Linked DNA regions of Mytilus edulis. The protein of the gene in region 2 interacts with the protein of the main gene of each other region in a pairwise test. Links are inferred from orthologs where the notes say so. Each region holds a gene or a part of one and is shown on either strand. Other genes may lie near its edges.

Evidence for each region.
Region 1: the proteins of phagosome assembly factor 1-like (region 2) and ataxin-3-like interact in binary tests that used the Homo sapiens proteins (3 or more experiments, as listed by UniProt). The link is inferred for Mytilus edulis from reciprocal best matches to the Homo sapiens genes PHAF1 and ATXN3.
Region 3: the proteins of phagosome assembly factor 1-like (region 2) and BCAS3 microtubule associated cell migration factor-like interact in binary tests that used the Homo sapiens proteins (3 or more experiments, as listed by UniProt). The link is inferred for Mytilus edulis from reciprocal best matches to the Homo sapiens genes PHAF1 and BCAS3.

Annotation. Positions count from the first base shown.
Region 1 is NC_092346.1:61,398,118-61,405,549, forward strand, and holds the start of ataxin-3-like, read right to left. Parts: upstream 3,112-7,432; 5' UTR 3,067-3,111; coding exon 3,043-3,066; intron 2,590-3,042; coding exon 2,425-2,589; intron 1,718-2,424; coding exon 1,581-1,717; intron 305-1,580; coding exon 150-304; intron 1-149. UniProt on the Homo sapiens protein: Deubiquitinating enzyme involved in protein homeostasis maintenance, transcription, cytoskeleton regulation, myogenesis and degradation of misfolded chaperone substrates.
Region 2 is NC_092348.1:64,622,002-64,629,123, reverse strand, and holds the start of phagosome assembly factor 1-like, read right to left. Parts: upstream 3,076-7,122; 5' UTR 2,924-3,075; coding exon 2,860-2,923; intron 1-2,859. UniProt on the Homo sapiens protein: Plays a regulatory role in autophagic activity. In complex with BCAS3, associates with the autophagosome formation site during both non-selective and selective autophagy.
Region 3 is NC_092349.1:73,482,796-73,490,406, reverse strand, and holds the start of BCAS3 microtubule associated cell migration factor-like, read right to left. Parts: upstream 3,026-7,611; 5' UTR 2,935-3,025; coding exon 2,867-2,934; intron 1,930-2,866; coding exon 1,875-1,929; intron 1-1,874. UniProt on the Homo sapiens protein: Plays a role in angiogenesis. Participates in the regulation of cell polarity and directional endothelial cell migration by mediating both the activation and recruitment of CDC42 and the reorganization of the actin cytoskeleton at the cell leading edge.

The DNA.
Region 1 (7,432 bases), on a different chromosome or scaffold from region 2:
CACATGTTCCTTTAAATGAGACTTTTGAAATACATTGTCAATGAATTGATCTATGTTATTACAATAATAAAAAAAAAATTTGTACCAAAGAATTATAAATCATTCTTTATATTTTTAAATCTTTGCCTTCACTTTAAAAAGTTACTTACCTTCTTGTTGTAGTTGTGTTAAGAATAATGATAAATAAGTATCTGATATAAGTTCTGGGCCTGTAAGTAGTGAGTTTAAATTAAACCATTGATAACCAAGTTTTCTTATTGCTAACCAGTGTTCTCGAAAATTGCATATGTAAGCATTCATTTCTCTGCAAAAAAAATAAATATAAAAATATTATTAGTATCAATCTGTCTGATGATGAAAGCTGATTTTATCATCTTCACAATTTATCATGATTTATAGAAAAAAATTATTACAAATAGTGTTGGACACCACAGCAAACTGTTTCAATAATTTACTAGTCTACACATATAAAGAATAAGACAACAATATGCTAGCAACATTAGCTGAATTAATACTAGTACAATATGTACTAAGACATAATCTTTCAATCAGTTTAATTGAGGTCTGGAGCTGGCATGTCAGTTAACTGCTAGTAGTCTGTTGTTATTTTTGTATTATTGTCATTTTATTTATTTTCTTTTGTTACATCTTCTGACATCAGACTGGGACTTCTCTTGAACTGAATTTTAATGTGCGTATTGTTATGCATTTACTTTTCTACATTGGCTAGAGGTATAGGGGGAGGCTTGAGATCTCATCATGTTTAACCCTGCCGCAATTTTGCGCCTGTCCCAAGTCAGGAGCCTCTGGCCTTTGTTAGTCTTGTATGGTTTTTAATTTTAGTTTCTTGTGTATAATTCAGAGTTTAGTATGACGTCCATTATCACTGTACTAGTATACATATTTTTTATGGGGCCAGCTGAAGGACGCCTTCGGGTGCGGGAGTTTCTCGCTACATTGAAGACCAATTGGTGGCCTTTGGTTGTTGTCACTTTGACAGATTCCCCATTTCCTTTCTCAATTTTATGATCAGACTTGTACACTATTCTTCAAAAATATCAATAATGTTTTCTTTACGACCTGACTGGAGATTAGTTAGAATCGTTGAAAATGTAGTTTTTCCTTGTCATTTACTAAAAAATGTCAATATAAATTCATTCATTAGCATTTAAGTCTGTTTATATTTATAATTAAGGTGATGGTATTTCAAGTGTTTTATCATAACTTTTAGTGGGACTCATGTTGCTCAGTCTCTAGTTTCTATGGTGAGTTTTATGTACTGGTGTTTGTCTGTTTGTCTTTTTATTTTCTAGTGAAAGTTTTTATCTTTTTATGTGCATGTTGTAATTTTATGTAATGAATTGATACACCAAATATCAAATTTCTTTGGTTGACCTTTGACATTGAAATCAACAAGATTCTCCCTTTCCAATTTGGATAATGTACAAAATGTATACATATTTCATAAATGTTACTCAGATTAATATGTAGATATATGCAATACATACTATATTGTATCATTCTTTTCTGAAAGCTATCTGCCAACCTTAGATTCTTAACATCATATTATAATTACTCACACAGGGTTAGTCCTAGCTGTTGCAGCAATAGGATCTTGTGAATTATAGGGTAACAGATGTAAACCCCATACTGACAGTCCTTTTTCTATTACTTGTATTGAAAAAAATCCACTGTCATCAAAATTATTGGATGGTTGCTGAAAATTAGATTTAAAACTTTATCTTGAGTACCGGTATACTTCATGTACATGTACATGTATTTTGTATAATTAATCATCATACATGTACATGTACATGTAGTATTATAATACATGTTATAACATTTCTTATCAATTTTCCAGAAATAACAAACTATTTAAGATTTATACAACTCCTTGTTTATAGAAATGAAATAATACATGACACAAGGCTTGCTAAATGTATATATACAAATGTATATCCAAATTGTTCACGTTGTTGGTAAACAGGGAGTGACATACATTTGTACATGTACCATACATGTAGATGATGTTTTATTTATTTCCAGACATTTTAAGGTATCTGCACAGTTATGCAATATCACAAATAACATGACATTCTCTCTAACTATGATCACACTCTCAGTCTCTGTCTCATTCTGCAAACACATCTATATCCTTGGCCTATTCAAATTTTACAAGTTATAACAAAATCTCCATAATTCCCCATTTTTATTAAGCTATATGATTCTTAAGAACATTTCCGCACTTTCTAGACTTCCAGTAAAGTCAATGAGAATAAACATGGTGAAGTACATGTACATGTATATAATGTACAGTATATTAAACAAACAAAAATTTGTAAGCATATTCTTCAACTTAAACTTGACGCACAGAAACAAAAAGAATGAATTTAGTGTGGTAAATACAATATATCATTATTTTACCTCCATAAATCTTTTATATTCTTCAGTTTGTATGCCACCTACTGCCATTTGTTCTCTTTCTGATTCATCTAACTGCTGAGCAATTTCTGCTAAATCTACTGGACTGAAGTACTGTCCTTGTATTAAGGCATTTAGACAGTGTTGTGCACACAGGGAACCCTCTTGCTAAAATTAAAGCATAGGTAACCTATGATTGATCATTACATAATATCGTATACTTACAATTGCAATTTAAGTTTCTGATTGTAATACACTGTACCAAATTTAATAGAAACCCAACAAAAGAGTTACCCCTCTTTGATGATGAAAATTTCATTTAAGTTCTAACACACTTTAAGATTTTCCTAAATTTATGACAGTCAAACGTCAACGAAATAAAAGTACACTGACCAAATATAATTGCTTAAGGTCACTTGAAGATACAGTTAAACTGTAGTATGGCATCAAATCTGGTGATTTTGTCAGTGATGCTGATAGTGATAGACAAAAATGTCACGACTGCGGTCAAAGGACGGTTCAGTTGACCACTCAGACTACCGAATCCTAATGCAAGCAAGTCTGTTTTATGAAATATATCGAGAAAATGTATAAAGTTGTCACTGTAAAGACAACTTTTACCTGTTCATGAAAAATTGTGTCCATTTCAGTCCCGGTGATGAATTTTATTAGGGGAGGTAACTGTTGTCTAATGGTACATCGGACTACCTACCATTTTTTTTAAATAGTGAGAAGAATGCAACGGTCTCCTTTCTTATTATATGAAATCAGTTTGATTTCCAATGAAAATTAAGGGGAAAGATATGATTTACATAATGATAAACATTTCGTTAGAGTAGAGCCAGTTAGATGTTGAAGGTTCAAATATGGCGTCGGCGTCCGGTTTTAGACCCAAATGGGCTAATACTCCGCTTTAATGCGCCTCCGATTGAGGAACACAAAAAATTGTGTGTAAACAAAAAATCTCTGTGTAGTGATATTGAACATATATCTATGTTAACACATGACTGCGCTTAACCATTTGTGTTGATTTGGAAAGAAGAGGACCATAGAATAAATGTGTGAAAAATATAGAGTTATTTAATGTATTCCGTTCAAAGTACTTGTATTACATTTTCAAAGATATTATTGTGTGAAGAAGGAGATATTTTTACCACGATGAGTCGCATCGCGAAAGGATTTTTTGGGTATGCTTATTTACGGGAAAATGAATCACACTTCTTACCCCTTCTAGGAGAGGGTAGGAGGGGTCCTGATCCCGAATCCCGGGCTTAAATACTAGAAATCCCGAGGTCCCGATATTAAATAAATTTAAATCCCGACATCACGAAATTCGAGAAAAGAATTCCCTGATCCCGAAAGGGTCAATCCCGAAATCCGATAAAGGTCCTATCCCCCCTCCTTCAACCACACATGTGAAAATGTCTCAGCTTCGAAAGGAGCCATCATACATATCCAAGTTTGCGATACGGACTGAGCTACAGAAGAAAACGTTACCATTACCGCCTATAGCGAAACAATTGCGCATATTGCCCCAAATATGGTTTCGGCGCTCGCGTCGGCAGGCCCAGCTTTGGCGTCGGCGTCCAACGCTAAAGATAAATTCTAATTGTAGCTTGCTCGGTATGCCGTCTGGACGATATTTTGAAAGTGACAGTGTTTGCTACAAGTTGAACCTTTTACGGATGTTTCAACACTGAACTTTTTGGTTCATGAATATACTACGAGGTTTATATCCATTTGCTAGTAGATTTTTTTGTTGTTGTTAAATTTTTGTTGTTGATTTAACTTTACATAAAAATTGTATAGTCACCTATCTGTAATCGCTGTGAACGTTAACTTGAACTTTACATGCATGCAACTGAAGTGTGAAAAGGTAACCTAGTTCTCGTGAATGCAACGTTACTCGACTTCAGAACCCGGCATGTCTTAGTATCCAAAGAGGTAGTCTATAGGGTGAACTTTCAATATAAGTTAATAACACGTAAAATTTAGATTAGAGTGGTGTGTGATCGGCTGCCAGATATGATCTGATATGATCCCATTAGGTCATGCGAATATTTAGACAATAATTCAAAGTAGCTAATGCATGTCATGTATCCTTGAACTTGTTTTTATGTTATCTTTAATACAACTTTGCTTAAAGCATGCGAACATGATAGAACATATGAACGTCGACCAGTTTCTGGTCACCTTGCATTCCTTTCACTTGTTCTGATATATATCCCAGGGGCGGATCCAGAGTTTTGGAAAGGGGGGCGGAAGTGTCAAAGCTTTTGGGACCTTTTTGGGCTAAAAAACATAAAATAAGTGTCAGTATATGTACTATTTAAACGGTTTGCTGGCGTGGGGCATGTATTTTTTTTTTTTATAGTTGCTGTAAAGTGTAAGGGTTGGAAATTTTTGATGCTGTTTTCTCTCTATTAATTGTCTATCATATAATGATAGTATGGATCCAAAGCTATGTACTGATATATTTGATGTGGGATTTGTCAGTAAAAAATAGACATGGAAATTCTCGCCGGTTTGTTGCAAGTTAAGTTGTCATAACCTCACAGATTTCTTCTTGTAAACAAGATATACGCCGGGCTATTCGATGAAATTTACAATACGGCCGACACGAGTTAAAAGGACAAACATGCAGTTTTTATCCAAATGTTTGGTTGATATGTTTCACTCAACAAAACTAAGGAAAGTGAGGGGTTCCAAATCAACCAAAGGCTACGAAAGAGTCTGAAATGACAACGAATTTATGAATAACGGTCGACAAATGGAGACATAAAGGCCACACCCAGCAGGCAGGTTACAGTCTGGTCTTGAAAAAAGTATTCAATATATAAGTCCGGCGAAACAGACATTCAGGTCAGACATGCAAACCTCGGCCACAAAAAAAATACGCCCGTTTTTATTCATCATGTTCATTTAATGCTAAATAATTTTGTTGGCTAATAGCAAAAAAAGTGGACAAGACTATTGTTTCAATCCAGATACGGCCAGAACTGAGTTTTTCTTAAGGCAAGAATCAGAGTCAAATTTTTTTTCTCTCAAATATCTCTGACTGACACCTCAAATAAAATGGTTTGTACCTGAGACTTGAAATATTTCTAGAGCTTATAAATACTGACTGGGGATCATTATTCAATTTGTTATTTATAAAAATAGGTTGGGGCATTTGGGGTTAAACATGTTTTCGTAGGTAAATAATATGGTGGAACATTTTCTCATGAGAGTGTATTAGTCTATAGAGTATTTACTATTACTTTCTGTTTGGTGGAATAGTGAAATAGAAGTAAATACGTTCTTGCTCAATCCTGTTTCGCTATAAAGGTTTCATGATTGTCATGACATCCTCAGCCTAAGTAATGTGTTACTGTAATTTGAATTTCAAAATGACCGAGTGACATTTTTTCAATGCACTGGTCACCTCCACCATAGCAAATCACATGACTTTGACAATCAGTTAATATTCAGCTAAAATATCTTTATAAGTAAAGAATTGTCGTATTTATAAAAATTAAATACACGGGAAATGGCAAAGTTCACGAAGTCTAGTCTGATTAATCATTTTACAAAAAAAAAAAAAAAAAAGTCCGAGCAAAAGGGGGGGGGGGGCGGGGGCGTACGCCCTCTACTCCCCCCCTCTGAATCCGCCACTGTATCCTTAATTGTCGCTGTCATGAAATTATGACAACCCATATGTATCTAATTTGTTTTGCTCTCCACACAACACATTAATTCTTTATAAAATGAACAATATATATGTGCCTGTCCCAAGTCAGGAGCCTGTAATTCAGTGGTTGTCGTTTGTTTATGTGTTACATATTTGTTTTTCGTTCATTTTTTTTATATAGAGGCTGTTAGTTTTCTCGTTTGCATTGTTTTACATTGTCATTTCGAGGTCTTTTATAGCTGACTATGCGGTATGGGCTATGCTCATTGTTGAATGCCGTACGGTGACCTATAGTTGTTAATTTCTGTGTCATTTTGGTCTCTTGCATGTGGAGAGAGTTGTCTCCGTGATTGGCAATCATACCACATCTCCTTTCTTATAAACAAGAAAAAAAGAAAAAAAAAAACTATTGCAGCAAATATGAATAAAGATGGGTGAAGGGTAAACGTCAATACAACAGCAACTAACACCACTGACAGAAATAACAAGACTTAATATTTCAAACTCTGAGTCTATCGATTTGTGAATAAATCTGCAATTAGGGAGCCTGCATTCTTTGCGGCCTACACTGGCTGAGACGGATTGAGGATTTTTGAAAGGGGAACTTGATTCAAGAGAACTGAATATATACCGCTGAGCGGAGCTTGTCGAAAAATTCTTTGGACGACTTTATGCTAAAAAATATATGTTTTTCAGTCATAAGGGGGGGAGGGCAGGGCCGTAACTAGGGTTTTAATTCAGGGGAGGCAGGGGTTTGGAGGCCGCCGATTGAGGCCCTCAAGATCAGGGGTTCGGGGGCGCAGCCCCCGCCGATTTTTTTCTCTCGGTAAAATGGCTAAAAATGACCTTTTCCTTCGATTTCCTCACTTTAGGAAACATCAGTATTGTTGAAACGTGAAGCAATTTTTATGTAAAAACAAGCTGAGGTTGCTGTTCGGAGTGAGCGAAGGCTTCGTCCTGAAGGTCGTACTTTGGCCTATAAATATTAAAATTAAATACATCGTGACCGCAGATTTTTTGGTTTTCTCTCGATAAAATCAGTGGCTTAAAATGACCTGTTTTCCTTCGATTTCCATCAGTATTGTTGGATCCTGGAAGCAATTTTTATGCAAACAATTATTATCTGTATTTAAAGATTATTTTGTTAGAAATCAAACTGGTAAGTTAAAAAACATATAAAGCAAGATCAAAGAACACAAGATATTCTTTTTATCGGGGACCATGAATATCAATTTTGTTGAAAGCTGAACAGACATGTATATAACTACAACCAGATAATATTTATATACGTCTAGTATATACTTAGTATTAAAAGTCCCTGCTACAACGAATGGGAGTATT
Region 2 (7,122 bases):
CGTTATCAAGTTTTCAAACAGGAGGGGGAGGGGGACCCCAGTGACTTCCCCTATATTTCATTTAATTTGTTATATTGTCCAATACATGAATATGTATGATTGAGGGGTGGGGATCTCATCTGTTTCTAAGTTATCAAACAGGAGTGGGTAGGGTGACCCTAAGGACTCTCCCTATATTTCATTTGATTAGTTCTCATACATGAATATATATGGTTTAATTTAAAGGTGGGGATCTCGACTGTTTCGAATTTCTCAATCAGGTGACTGCAGGGACTCCCCCTATATTTCATTTAATTTAGAGTTGGGGATCCCAACTGTTTCAAAGTTCTTAAATATGAGGGGTAGGGGGACCACAGGGACTTCCCCTATATTTCATTTGATTTGTTATATAGTCTTATACATGAGTATATATCATTTATATGGTTAAGGGGTGATGATCTCGAATTTTTCCAAGTTCTCAAACAGGAGGGTGTACAGTGACCCCCTAATAATTCATTTGATTTGTAATATTGTCCCATACATAAATATATATTGTTTAAGATTGTGGATCTCGACCGTTATAAATTCTCAAACAGAAAGGGGTAGTTAGAGTGGCCCAACGAACTCCACCTATATTTCATATGATTTGTTATTTTGTCCCATACATGAATATATATGGTTTAGGGGTGGGGATCTTGACCATTACCAAGTTTTTGTCATTTTGGTCTCTTGTGGATAGTTGTCTCATTGGCAATCATACCACATCTTTTTTTTTTTATATAAGAAACTTCGATCCAGCTATTTTAACTGACCTATCAAAATTGAGAAGAAAAAAATACCCCTTGAAATTGCAGTAATATGTTTAACTTGAAAAGCATTTAACATTCATTACCAACATTTATCACTGATAAAAAAAATTATACTGCTACCAGGAACATATATATTGTTAGATAAACTGTTCCCAGCTGTCACATTGTATTGGATTTTGACATTAAAATTGCATTGGTGTACAAAATATTTTCTGCTTTTTCTTTCTTTTACATATATCTTTTGGTTTTAAATTCTAGGGTTTATATTTATTTACCAGGCATAGATGTATTTTGTCACCTGTCTGGATTTTTTTAGCTGATAGCCAAAACCTGGGATTACCCTTATCCGCTTCCGGAATCGGATCTGATATTGTAATCTCGCGGCAGCCATTTTGTTTTCAATGTTGTTTTTGACAGATAGTGAGATACGATTTTACTCGGATTTACACACATTATTTATCGGCGATTTTCTGTATAAAGCTAGCGGTTGAACAAATTGAACATCGCTGTCATGAATGGTAATGATGAAAATAAGTTTGAGATCGTTTATTAGGAAACTTCGGTAAAAATATTTGCAAAGTTATTTTTTTTATTTTCTTTCAAGGTCCGTCGGGCGTAGCTAGTAACCAAGTAGAAAGTCCGACTGCAAAAGTGGAAGGTCGCAGACCTCACACCACCGCTAATTTGAACCCCTGCGTCAAAATTGATAAGATACGAAAATTTCGTCTTCTATTAATTCAAAATTGCCGCTAACAGTGTGATCAGTTGAACTTATATTAATAGACTACTGACGTATATATACGTAGTTGACTACGTATTGACGACAAACAATATTCCTACGACTTTTGTAATTTGGGAAATCTTAACTACTTGTCTTTAGAGATTTTCGGCGATTAAATATTTCATACATTTGTTCTTTGACATCTTAGCCAAAAGCTCAGGGGATAATAAACTACATAAGGATTCCTAATGTGCTCTACTTCCTATGTGCAACTTCAAAACTTTTGGGAAAATCGACGATCACTTAAGGTTTTTCTGGTCATATTTTTTGTAATCCAGAATGAAAAGTATGAAAAAACTGTCCAATAAGTTATGAATAATATAGTAGCCAGCTAGATGATAACAATGGCACGTATTTCAGCATTTATTGGGTAGCACACAAATCCAGGGCGCTCGCATAAGGCAGCTTAACTGCCTAAAAAACTATTTTGCCCAAAATCAGAATGATTTCATGTTCGCTCTCAGTAACAAGTACCGGAATTGAAAGAAAGTGTTTCGTAAAAAGTTATTTATATTAAATAGCATACGATCAATTTGTATAGTCAATGCTTTTATCACGTTTATAAAGAAAGCAATTGATTGTGTCTTTGATTATAGGATGTTTGACATTGTTATCGTCATCAACTGATATATTTCGTTTCATTTGTTTGACTGCGCATGTAAAATGCAAACCAGAAACGGACCGGAAGTTGATATGCTAAAAGTCCGGAAACTGTAAAGACATTCGATTGAACAAAATCCCAATCGATTATCGACATCGCAAGGCCCAACCAACTGATTTACGACTTATTCCGATCATCAGAACACCACTAGTGGCCTTCAGCTCTGTTTTTTACTCTTTGATTGGGTTGTTGTTTAAATAAGAGAGCAAATGAGAATGGGATCGGACAAGATTTTGGTCGATCAATCTCAGATTCAAGTCTTTTGTCTATCAAAATAAAGATCAATAATTAACTTAAAAGGTTTGGCAATTAAATGTAGAACAGTTAAATGAAATCTTGAGTCTATGATTCCCAAATTTTGTTATTTATTGTCTTGTTCCTACATGTATTTTTTTATCCAATAGTGATCAGCTGTTTTGTGACATTCGACCTTCACCGTTGTTATTTATTTTTATTTTTGTGTGACGATCGATGTCCATTATAAATTACGAAACGATAGAAATAATTTATTTACAGATATCAGCACTATGAATTTTGATATCATTGATCTCTTTTGGGTTTTTTTTATTTGTAGTTTCAGATGAAATCTGACATAATGACTTGTAAAAAGATGACATCGTCATACTCACCAAGAATAAATTCCCATTGCTCGTTTCCAAGTGACCTTTCCGGGACTACTTCTAGATCGAGCATGGTAATTTAAAGTTATTGTTTCTATCGGCATTAAGATAAAGGTTTTATAATGAAACGTTATAAAATTCTATAGACATTTTTAGACTGTTGATTCTGGTTTGTTGTCATTATGATATCGCCATTTTTGTTTTGGTTTATTCAACCTGCGCAATGCATCTTTAATTTAGCGCCAAATTCAAATAACCTGAAATATACATAATTTATCACACCTAAGACACCTAAGTATAAAGGATTTGTAAAGTAAATACTACTTGCATGTCTTGCATGGGTACACATACGCACTTGGAAGATAGACCCCCTGGTCTTGTTTCTTTTTCTTTCAACAAGTGACTATTTAAAAAATTATTAGAGTGCACCCTGATAGTTGACAGGTGAGGGCCCTCATGGGGTTTTTGATTATGTGATTACTTGGCCGTTTTTTTAATGATTATTTGATTATTAAGCCAAATATTTCATGATTATTTGATTACCTAGGACTGTATTTTTAGTTTATGATTATTTGATTACTAAAGATAAGCAAATATTTAATGATTATGTGATTATATTGGCAAAAAAATGGTGATTATGTGATTACTAGGACCCCCCATGAGGGGCCTCACAGGTCGAGGTGATGAACCAGTTGAGTTTAACATTAAATATCTAATTGGTCAATCCAAAGAGTAAATCCTTGGTCAGGTCAATCTAAATGGCCGGACATATTAATCATGTATCTTCAATGATTATTTAAGCTACGAATGTAACCCTCACCAAGGACTTACGATCTTTCAATATAAGTAAAGGGATGTGCTGAGTATACATCAATGAGACAGCGACCCAACTACAAAAAAATAAGAAACAAGGCGCATTCATCATGATTTATATGACCACATGCAGTATTTTAAAAACTACAGACAGGTGTCTACACACATCTGTAATGTACTGAACTCTGCCATGTCTTGCGGGAATTTTTTTTATAGGAAACTTTTAGTTTTCTATTTCCGTAATTTTTTATTCACAGTAATTTCAGGACCTCAACAATTCTGTCTCGGAGGATATTCTTAACTTTTACAATGTGTTATCGTGTTAGGAAATAATTTTGAATCTGAGCCTTAGCCTCTTCGTGGGGTTTTAAATGATTGTGTGATTACATTGCCGTTTCTATAGTGATTATGCAATAATTCAGGAGCTCCTTAAATTTGACTAAATCCACACCTCATAGATTATATTCATATCGGTCTCATCAGTATTAAAGATGCGTTTAAGTGTATTCTGAATGCCTATTTTATTCACTCAGATCACCAAGCCTTTTAAAATTTGCTGATATAACATTCGGATTTAGTACCATACTGCCAGCTGCACTTCCTTTGAAGGTTTCCAAATATATATAGATATGGGTGAAGATAATTCAGTCCTTTTCTTGCACCAGTCATACCTAGCTGTTAACTTTCTTTATTAAAGGAACACTTCTTCTAAATCTAGCAACCATTTCTTTAGCCATAAAGATTACGAACACGGGTTATGGTCAGACAAATTATTTTTTTCGTTTTCATTTTCGAGATATGATCGACCAACAAGAATGTCTTCCTCTGTAGCTATTCGCACGTGCTGTTAGTTTAGTTACATCTATTTCAGATGTCTCGACATTCTTGTCTTATAGGAACATCGTTTATATTCAGACATTATTTAGACATGACTTGTCAGACGAACTGCTCTTGAAAGGGGTTTCTTTTTCCATTTCCTCGCTCTGTGGCCAATACCTTCTTCTTCTTAGCCATGAAAATCTGTTAGTAAATTATGTAGAAAATCATATACATTTAATTCCAGACAGGATCAGAACCATAAAATCATTACACTTATCATTGTTATTACACATACATTAATTAACATTTCCTTTAACATCTAGACATGTAATAATATAGCTCCCTAAATATCTAAGTACAGACAAATTTTTATTAGTAAATAACCAAACAAATTTTGCCTCATTTGAAAGATGTATAAAATTAGGACAAATACAGTTTATCTCCTTGAAAAATATCTCCCTATCGTTTTTGTATGCTAGCTGAACAACTAGTTATAAAATGTTGTTCATCTTCAACCAGATTTAGAGTACACTTCTTACAAAGCCTATAATGTTTTATACCTGTCTCTTTCTATTTTGAGATCATGTGCACTGATTCTAATTTTACATATGGCACTTCTCAATTGAAAATTGTTTAAAGATAGATACATTTCTTTCGAAAAACAAGTTTTAAGTTTGAAATAAGTATCTAATTTACTACTCTGTGTATCTCATTCTGTTCTTTTTGTGTTCCTAACTTTTACAAAACTTTTACAAAGTTTTTGCTTAACTGACTTGATAAAAAAGAAGAGCTTCACCTCCAAATTATGAATATTCAGCTTTTTAAAAATACCAGCATTCAATATTATTATTAAACATGTTTTTGTTACACATATAGGTATCATACAGTAAACCATCTTTCATATTCTTATTCTAAACCAATATTTTAGCATTGATAATACAACTGAAAAATATAAAGGGAATCTACCAAGCTCTTCTAGCACAGCTAGGTTAGAAGACTTTTTGTTTACACCTAATATATACTTCATATATCTTAAATTGGATTTATCTAAAAAATAATTCATATAAATATGCTGTAATAAATATTCACTTTCTTTCTGGCATGCTGCAGAGCTAGTTTTAAACATACCTGTAATTTCACTGCCATACATTAAAATGTTTTTTATTGTATGGTCATATATATGTAATAGAGTAGAAATACTTGGATTGGAAGATGATTAAGATCTTTGTAATTTGAATACAGCTTTTACTGATTTTTTGTATAATTCTTCCTTTCCTTGCTTAAAAAGTCCACTAGATATAAATTTTAAACCTAAATACTTATAATTGTTAACACATTCTATTGTATCTTTTTCGAAATAAAAATATTCTTTTAAAAGTTTACCAGGTTTGTTAAATATAAAATTGTTGTATATACAATTTCATTTCGTTTTAAACTAAGAGATGTGGGATTATGGTTGTTGGAACATGAAAGCAAAAAGTCTAGCAAAAGAATCACACTCGAGAAGTTAGAGCAAATTTTTTAAGTCAGAATAATGTGTTTGGGTAGAGCATGTCTTCCTGTGATCTATTAGCTAGGACTACAAATCCGACTCAGCGTGTCTGTATGATACATAACATGGTTCATATAAAATGATATATATATCGACACCTTTTCGTCCGGACATGAAAAAGTTGCCATTGGACCATTAACACTAATTTATCGTCACCATCTAAAAGTTAATCCAACATACTCCAACAAATTTGCAGATTCCTTGCTTCAATCATCGCGTAAATAAGTTCAGGTTAACCCCAAACGTTCAAAAATTATCGGCATTCGCACAAAAAGTTTTACAGAAAGTGGAGTCGGTTCCAAATTTGTTAAAAGTAATCTTTAAAAGGTGAATAAGATCAAGATCTTCAAAACTCAACCATTTATATATGGAATGCAGATCACTGATTCACAAGATGTCATAAACATACAAGTGAAGCTCATTGTGTGAAAAGTTTTATAGTTGCATTAAGGCATACAGGAGTTGCAGTGCACGTGAATAAGAGATATAAATTATCCATCAATTCCTTATCGATAAGCACACATTAATATGAGGGAAGGAATAGCTTTAATTGTTAAAATAGCCTAAAATTTGAAGCAGCATTCGTCAGAATTTTTAGCTGTCGTTTATAGTGTCAATAGAGTAAATAATTTATGCTAATCGTTTATTTTAGGCAAAAGTATATTGCATCGTCATCTCTGGTATATCATACTTTCGGCATATATACTACTCATAGAAAATTTAATTTTGCAACACATCTATTGAGATGAATCATCATGGGAATCAAATTATAAAGCCCGGGTCATATCTTTGCAGAAAAATGCTTAAAGGGATATGAAATATTAACAGCATGCCTGATTTAAAGAGTGTTTGAGCAATTACAGAAGAAAATGGAAAAAAGTATGATACAAATATTTTTTTCGTGGGAGGAGTGCCACGCCAATTTTTACGAGGGAAATGATAGTTTCTGTTTTTAAAACAAAAAAAATGTGACTTTCAATTATAACCCTTCCCTCAAAGTTTGTCAACAGTGAAGCTGATTGAAATTCGCCAATTAATGTAATTGTAGTCCTAAATAGCACAAATCTTATTGGAGATGAAGAAAACAC
Region 3 (7,611 bases), on a different chromosome or scaffold from region 2:
AAGAAAAAGGACTGAAACAACCATAGCTATGTTACTATATTCATATTAAATGAACACTGTACAAAACATAATTGCATTTTATAGTCTGATGGCAGGAAATCCAACAAAAAAATCTTTTTTATTTTTTATATTTAGAACTTATTATAAGCACAACTCATAATTTCATGACTGAAGTTGTTCTAACATCATCAAGTTCAATGAAGTATGAATGATCTTTTTTCCTTCCTGCTTTAAAAATCACCCCTATGCATGTATGCTCTACTAATGTATTTAACATAATGTTTTTGGATAGAAATAGACAATTTTCATATTTTATTGAATAAAATTTATTAAAATTCTATTGTTTAGTTTTCTTTCTATCAACATTATCAAACACAATTGGTTTTTACATGTATTTAATACAAAATTGATTTTTTTTATCTTAACTACATAAGTTACATCTATATTTAAAAAAATTATATCAATTTTCATTTTGACCTGAGGGGGGGCGCTCATCTAGTTTTACGGAAACGTGTTTGACTGTAATTATGGCATACAAATTTGCATATAAGTACAAATAATTATATAATCATTGTATGAATGTATGTCTATAAACATAAACAAGTCTAAATTGAAAACTACGTTCAAACCTATGATTGCTTTGGATAAAAACCGCAATTTTTATACTTGTGCATGTAAAACAAATTTCGTTGTAGAAGGGTCTAAAAGACTATAAACATATATACACTATAGTTATTTGCATGTACAGTTAATTGTAACTGAATTTTGTCTTCAAATGACCTGAGATCTGCTCCGATTAACCTTCTGACATCATGCAACAATCATTTTTTTTTCATTGTGAGGTAAACATTTTTCAATTGTGATATCAAAGATTACTGGAACTTGTGTGATCTTACATACATGTATTAAATGGCAGACAAAGGAGGAGGTTCAGTAAGACCTCTTTTTGGCCCCAAAATATAGCAGTTTTACAAAATTGTGAAAATTTAATCTTTTAGCTATTAATTGGAAAGAAGAATGCTTCTGCTACACAAATATGGCCTGTTTTTGACAATACAATGCACATATATCACGTACTAACATCATTAAGTCATGCTAAATTACTGAAATCTTCACAATTTTAGCATTCTAGTTAAATTTTAGACAGTTTACGTCTTAAATGAAAGTGGCTGCATTCTTGTTCATTCAAAATATTGAAATGTAAGTTGTATTTGATGATAATACATAACATATATAAACATGATAAAGGTTGAGGATGAACAAGGATGCGGCCACTTTCATTTTTGACAAAAACCATCTGAAAAGTGACGATTTTTTGCATATTTGATATATTTTTCATATATAAGCTTGAATCAGAGCGTTTTTAATGACTTAATCAGTTAGAATCTTTCACATAAACTAATTGAATCAGGTGGAATAACATATCAAGAAATGATAGGTTGTGCCATCTTAAATTGCGAATCAAGAGACGTAGGTGATGAATTTCATTATGTTATGTCATGTAATGTTCTAACTCAAGAAAGAAAGAGGTTGATACCATACTATCATGACTATTGTACTCTTCGTCCAAATATTTATAAATATCAACAATTAATGAGCTATAATAATTATATTGTTCTTGAAAAACTTGGTAGATTTATAAAAATTATAAATGTGAGGGTCACTCCTCCTGGTTAGTTTGTAATGTAATGTTTATGTTTGTATTGTTCACATGTGCTTCAATATTTAATGTAATTGTTTATATATTCTCTGTAACTATGTAATTTGTAGTTTATGAGAAATAAAATTCATTCATTCATTCAAATTTGAGGCCAAAATCTGCCCTTACCGGACCTACTCCTTTGCTTAAAAGTGTAAATACATCTTTTGCTCACCTGTGGTACAACATCTGATATGAAATCAACTACGTTTTCCATAACCGTTTTGTCACTGAAAAATAAAGTAAGCATGCACATGATGTATATATATATACACATTTACTTGCATAAACCATTAAAGGTAAAATCCAGTAGATATTTTATTTAGAATTTTTAAAACTGATGAAATTCTAGAAAAGAGATGTGATTGAGTCTTCAACAAATGGAACAATACAATGTTTCCTTGGTCATTAGTGAGACAAATATGCTGTGCAAGATATTCCTTAATTTTTCATAAACCTAGAGTATTGCAGGACCTATATTACTAATTAGGCCAAATTGTTATAGCGTCTTAAAATTCTATTAATAAAATTCAGTCATATGTACAGTTTCCTACGACATCACAGCTAAAATTCAAACAGCCTGAAAGATATCATTACCATTTGTACTAGGCCAGTATATTAATATGGGTACAGGTTTACCGTCATGACTGTTTATTTTAAGCTCGACAGGCACAACTTTAATAATTAAGCATGAAAATGGGAAACAAAGGGCGGGACACAGGCAATTACATGCACTGCAATGGCAACGAGAGAAGCGAATATGGGATTCTGTTCAAATTATAAGCAGGATCCAAGTTTGGAACCCCAATACAACGATACACTTTCATTTTAGTACTTCAGACATTTTCTCTTGTGATGTCAAAATTTTGCGTAACTGTTGTGGTTCCGAAAAAGTAATCAGGTAATCGCAATAAGGTGTATTCAAAGATCAGGACGAAACAGTTCAAGCTTGAGAAATTTATTCTAATTCATTTCCCAATTGAGATATTTTCATGAAATATATTATTGATTAATTTCATCCTGCAGATCCATGGGTCCAGTTGTGTATCCAAATTGGCGATCATATCCCATTTCTGGCTCAGTATCCTTCTGGCTTTGACATAATAAAGTGGTCCCAAATTATCTGGTACATGCATGTTATAATCTTGCTATGTAATGGAAATTTACCTGAATCCCTGTGGTCTAACAACATTATTTACAAATTTAAGGTGCTTTCGGGGCGATTCTGCGGACATTCTTTCAATTTTTACAAATGTAAACAAATGTACTTGTTGCAGAAATGACGTCAGCTTTGTTTTGACCTGTCCGCGAAGTAAAGTTGCAGATTTCCGTTTCCTGGACGAATAAATTTTAAACAATTAACCGTCATAAACATGAGAAAGATCCGGAAAGGATAAGAAACCGAAAACTTTAATTTGTGACTGGAAAGGTACCAGTCTTGTATTACATCTCCAGTTTCCAAAACATGGAGGGAAACAAAAAAGTGTATTTGTTTATGCATTTTTTTCTGAACTCAATTTTTTCTGTTTGATTATAGGTTTATGCTGAATTGAAACATATAGGTAAATAGACTTAAAAAAATTCACATACATGATGTGAACATGAAATTTTTTTTCTATGTAGCATTTTTTTATTTTTTATTTCAAAGATCTGCTGTTTAACATGTAAGCCTATGGAGCAGTCAATTACAAGACTGCAACCGAAAGAGTAAAGCAATTAAGATCAAACAAATATAGATCAAAGCTTTTTGAGGTTTTCACGAATATTAAATTGGAAAAAAAGAAGAAAATAACACATGCAATCTAAAGTTTAGATATCACCTAAAAATACTACACTGTTCATGAACACGATGTATCCTCAATACCGTCTCAATATGGTAAATGAGGGATTTTTACTTTTTTTTTTACACTAAATCTTGATAACACTTGATAATCCATACATTAACTTTTAGCAGTACTCCAACTATTGGTGTTAATGTTTTATAAACAGTTTTTGTCTGATTAAACTAATGGTTTTGATTTTTTAAATTGCCAATATTTGCTGAAATGGGCAAACTACTTGAATATGAGATTTGTCATGATAATATCACTACTCAGGTTTTATTGTTTAAACCATTTTCGATATATTGTCATAAATTGAACATGGAGAATGTGCGTATTCAGTGAAGCAGTAGCTATGTTAAATAAAGTTTCAAAGCCTCCTTCAATAAATAATAAAGTGAATTTGTTAACAGACCATTTCATTGAGCTACTAAATCTTCTGAACGCCCTATTATGAAAGAGAATAATAATGGAATAGAAATCAACATAAAACCACACGAAAAGCATTAGATGAAGTCTGCAAATAAAAGTAAAAAAATGGAAAATCATATGAAAATGACAATCTGAATGCCGAACTCTTTGGGAATGGGACTTATCAATGTTATCTACCACTCTGCTCTAAAACATCTTTAAAAAAACATCGAGAAGAAAGATCTGATGCCATGTGACAGACATAAGTATCATAACACTTAATGATTGTAACAACTGGCGAGGCACTACAGTATTTTCCATCCAAAGTAAGATCATGACAACCATTACTATAGATTTTGCTTATTTAGCATCAATGTTTCACACACAAAACATATATAGAACAAATTGGATTCGAATCAATATAAAGAAAACTAGTATCATGACGCTAGGTTTAAACAACTCAGGGTCTGTAAAATGGATGTAGAACATTACTGCATGTTCACACTTTCATATAACTTAGTATCACTTTCTACCAATGGAGGAGCAGAACCTGCCATCAAAAGACGCCTATATAAGACAATGGCAGCTTTTAACAATCTACAGGCTGAACTGAGATAAACAATATTCTATGCGAACCATACACAAACTTTACAGCATTAAGTCTTGTTCAGGGGCGAATCTAGCCATTTAAAAAAAAAAGGGGGGAGTTCCAACCCCCGGAACCCTCCCCCTGGATCCGCCATTGTTGTTGTACTTTTGTTTGCCGCTGAATTATGGAGGATGACAAATTACGATCAAAACAAGCGGCCTGTATTCTATATCAGAAAGCTTCAGAAGGATTCTTTGAATCTTCTGGCCACAAACAAATTTCAAACCATAACACTCTAATCAGATACCAACCAGAATTTAGAACTATAATGTGAAGATGCTGGATCAGACATGTCATACGGAAAGAGAAAGAGAATACCACTTCAACAGCACTCGACTGTGCAATTTGTTTTTAAAAGAACGAAAGCAAGACCATAAATAAAATTTGGAGAACTGTAGAGGCAAAGGCTATTCAACTCTACCAGACACACTACTACAAGAAATGGCGCATAGGGTAGTAATTAATTAAGTAAGTAGGTAAGTTAGGAAATAAGAAAATTTCAACAGATGTATGCAAATAAAGAAAACAGTAGCATACCGCTAATCGAAGGTAAAAAAAATCGATTGAGAGAAAACAAATAGGTTTTACAAACTAAAACCGAGGAAAACAACACTATAAGAGGAAAACAACGAAACAACAGAAACACTGAAGTGAAAAAAAAAAAGACAATGCAACACAGACAGAAGCGACCTATAAGATAACAACTGCAATTTTCCTGACTTGTTACATTTAAGAAAAAAATAGTGGGTTGAACCTGGTTTTGTGGCTAGCCAAACACTAAAGTTACACCATTATAAACTTGGACACATAGATACCAACATTGACGGAGGCTTATCATTTCCACAAAATCAAAATGTAAATAATTCATTAAACTATAATTCTTTCCTCGGAGTAGGCCTACTAGCTGCATATGATTGTACTTGAAATCCGCTTTTTTTTTTAAAAATATCTAATGATAAATATATAATATAAAAATAAGATGTTGTATGATTGCCAATGAGACAAACATTCAATATAAAGCGAATGTTCGTTTGAGTTAAGACGAATTATAATGGTTACGTTTAATTTAAGTGTTTTCAACAAATAGTCCCAATCCCTTATTATAACGAGTCTAAAAGTAACAAAAACTTCCCGCTTTGTACAGAAGATTTCCTCTCAACAAATAATGCAAAATTGTGTGATTATGTTGAACGCTTACTCATGAAACATGAAATACATGGTACCACAGATTGAGTAAAAGAGGGACGAAAGATACCAAAGGGACAGTCAAACTCATAAATCTAAAACAAACTGACAACGCCATGGCTAAAAATGAAAAAGACAAACAGAAAAACAATAGTACACATGACACAACATAGAAAACTAAAGAATAAACAACACGAACCCCACCAAAAATTAGGGGTGATCTCAGGTGCTCCGGAAGGGTGAGCAGATCCTGCTCCACATGTGGCACCCGTCGTGTTGCTTATGTGATTACAAATCCGGTAAATAGTCTTATTCGGTAGGTCACATTCATGAAAGGGAAGGGGATTGTAGTTACGACGTAAGGAACATATCCGATATCATTTGTGAAACGGTTATTCCATAACGGTCAATCAACGCGTGATGGCGTCCGTAAAATTTACGAAGGGATGATTTCAACTTCACCATTTGGAACTCTTGATTTAATAGCTTCCTTGTGAGCAGTAACCCTCTATCAAGAAAATCATGATAGGAAATGCAAGCACGGGAATATCGTATCAATTGGGAGATATATACCCCGTATGCAGGTGCTGCTGGAATGTTGCTACTTAGAAATGGAAAGTTCACAATTGGAAAGCTGAAATCATCTCTTTTGTCGTAAAGTTTTGTTTTCAACCGACCCTCATTGTCAATTTCTAGATGTAAGTCAAGATATGAAGCCGACTTAACTGTATCTGTAGTATCCTTTATCTCCAATTCGATGGGATAGATGCGTTCCACATAGTCACCAAATTTTGAATTGTTTAGTGAAAGAACCGTTTTAACGTCATCTATATAGCGGAAAGTAGAGTTAAAGGATATTGCTAACTTCCTATCTTTCTTCCTAAGAAGTTTCTGCACGAAGTCAGCCTCATAATAATAAAAAAACAAGTCGGCAAGTAGAGGGGCAAAGTTTGTTCCCATTGGGATGCCGACAGTCTGTTGAAAAACACGTTCTCCGAACGTTACAAATATGTTGTCAATCAAGAAATCAAGCATCTTGATAATATCGGTTTCAGAGAGAATTTTTTGTTTGAATCAGAGTGATTCTTTACAAAGTATGATTTATCCCTCCCTAAGACAAGATACTTGTATCTACGTTGGCCATTCTTTTTTATGAAGCAAAGTAATACCAACTCTTTCAATTTGTCTTTTAGTTTGGAATGTGGAATACTTGTGTAAAGTGCGGGAATTTCTCGCTTCATTGAAGACCTGTTGGTGACCTTCTGCTGTTGTCTGTTATATGGTCGGGTTGTTGTCTCTTTGACACATTCCCCATTTCCATTCTCTAGTTTATCTTCATATTTTGACTTATACCGTAAATAAAGTTATAATTCAGGTGTGCCTAAGCATAACGAAACACGAGATGATTTCAATTTTCACATTGCGACAGTGATTAAATTGAAATCATCTAGTGTGTCGTAACGAGTAAGCGTTCAATTTCGGCGTAGCAAAATATCAACAGTGCCTGTTTCCTATGTATATACGTCCAAGTTTTTTAGTATTCCAGGGCTTCTGAGAACCTAATGGTAAAGTTTAGACATCCTTTGAAAGTTTAACAGACGCATTCAATATTTGATTCACCATAACATGCATAACATGCATATTGAAATATTTGTGCCAGATATAACCACGGATATGTTCCACTTACTCAAACCATATACGACTGTAATTTTCTCAGTAAAATCATCATAAATAACAGGATTAAAAATAATTGCGACATATACAAAAAAGACTTATCGGCGAATTTACACTTGCCGCGACCAACGCGATCAGAAACACTTTAAGAGACGGTACTGAGTAACCTTGTG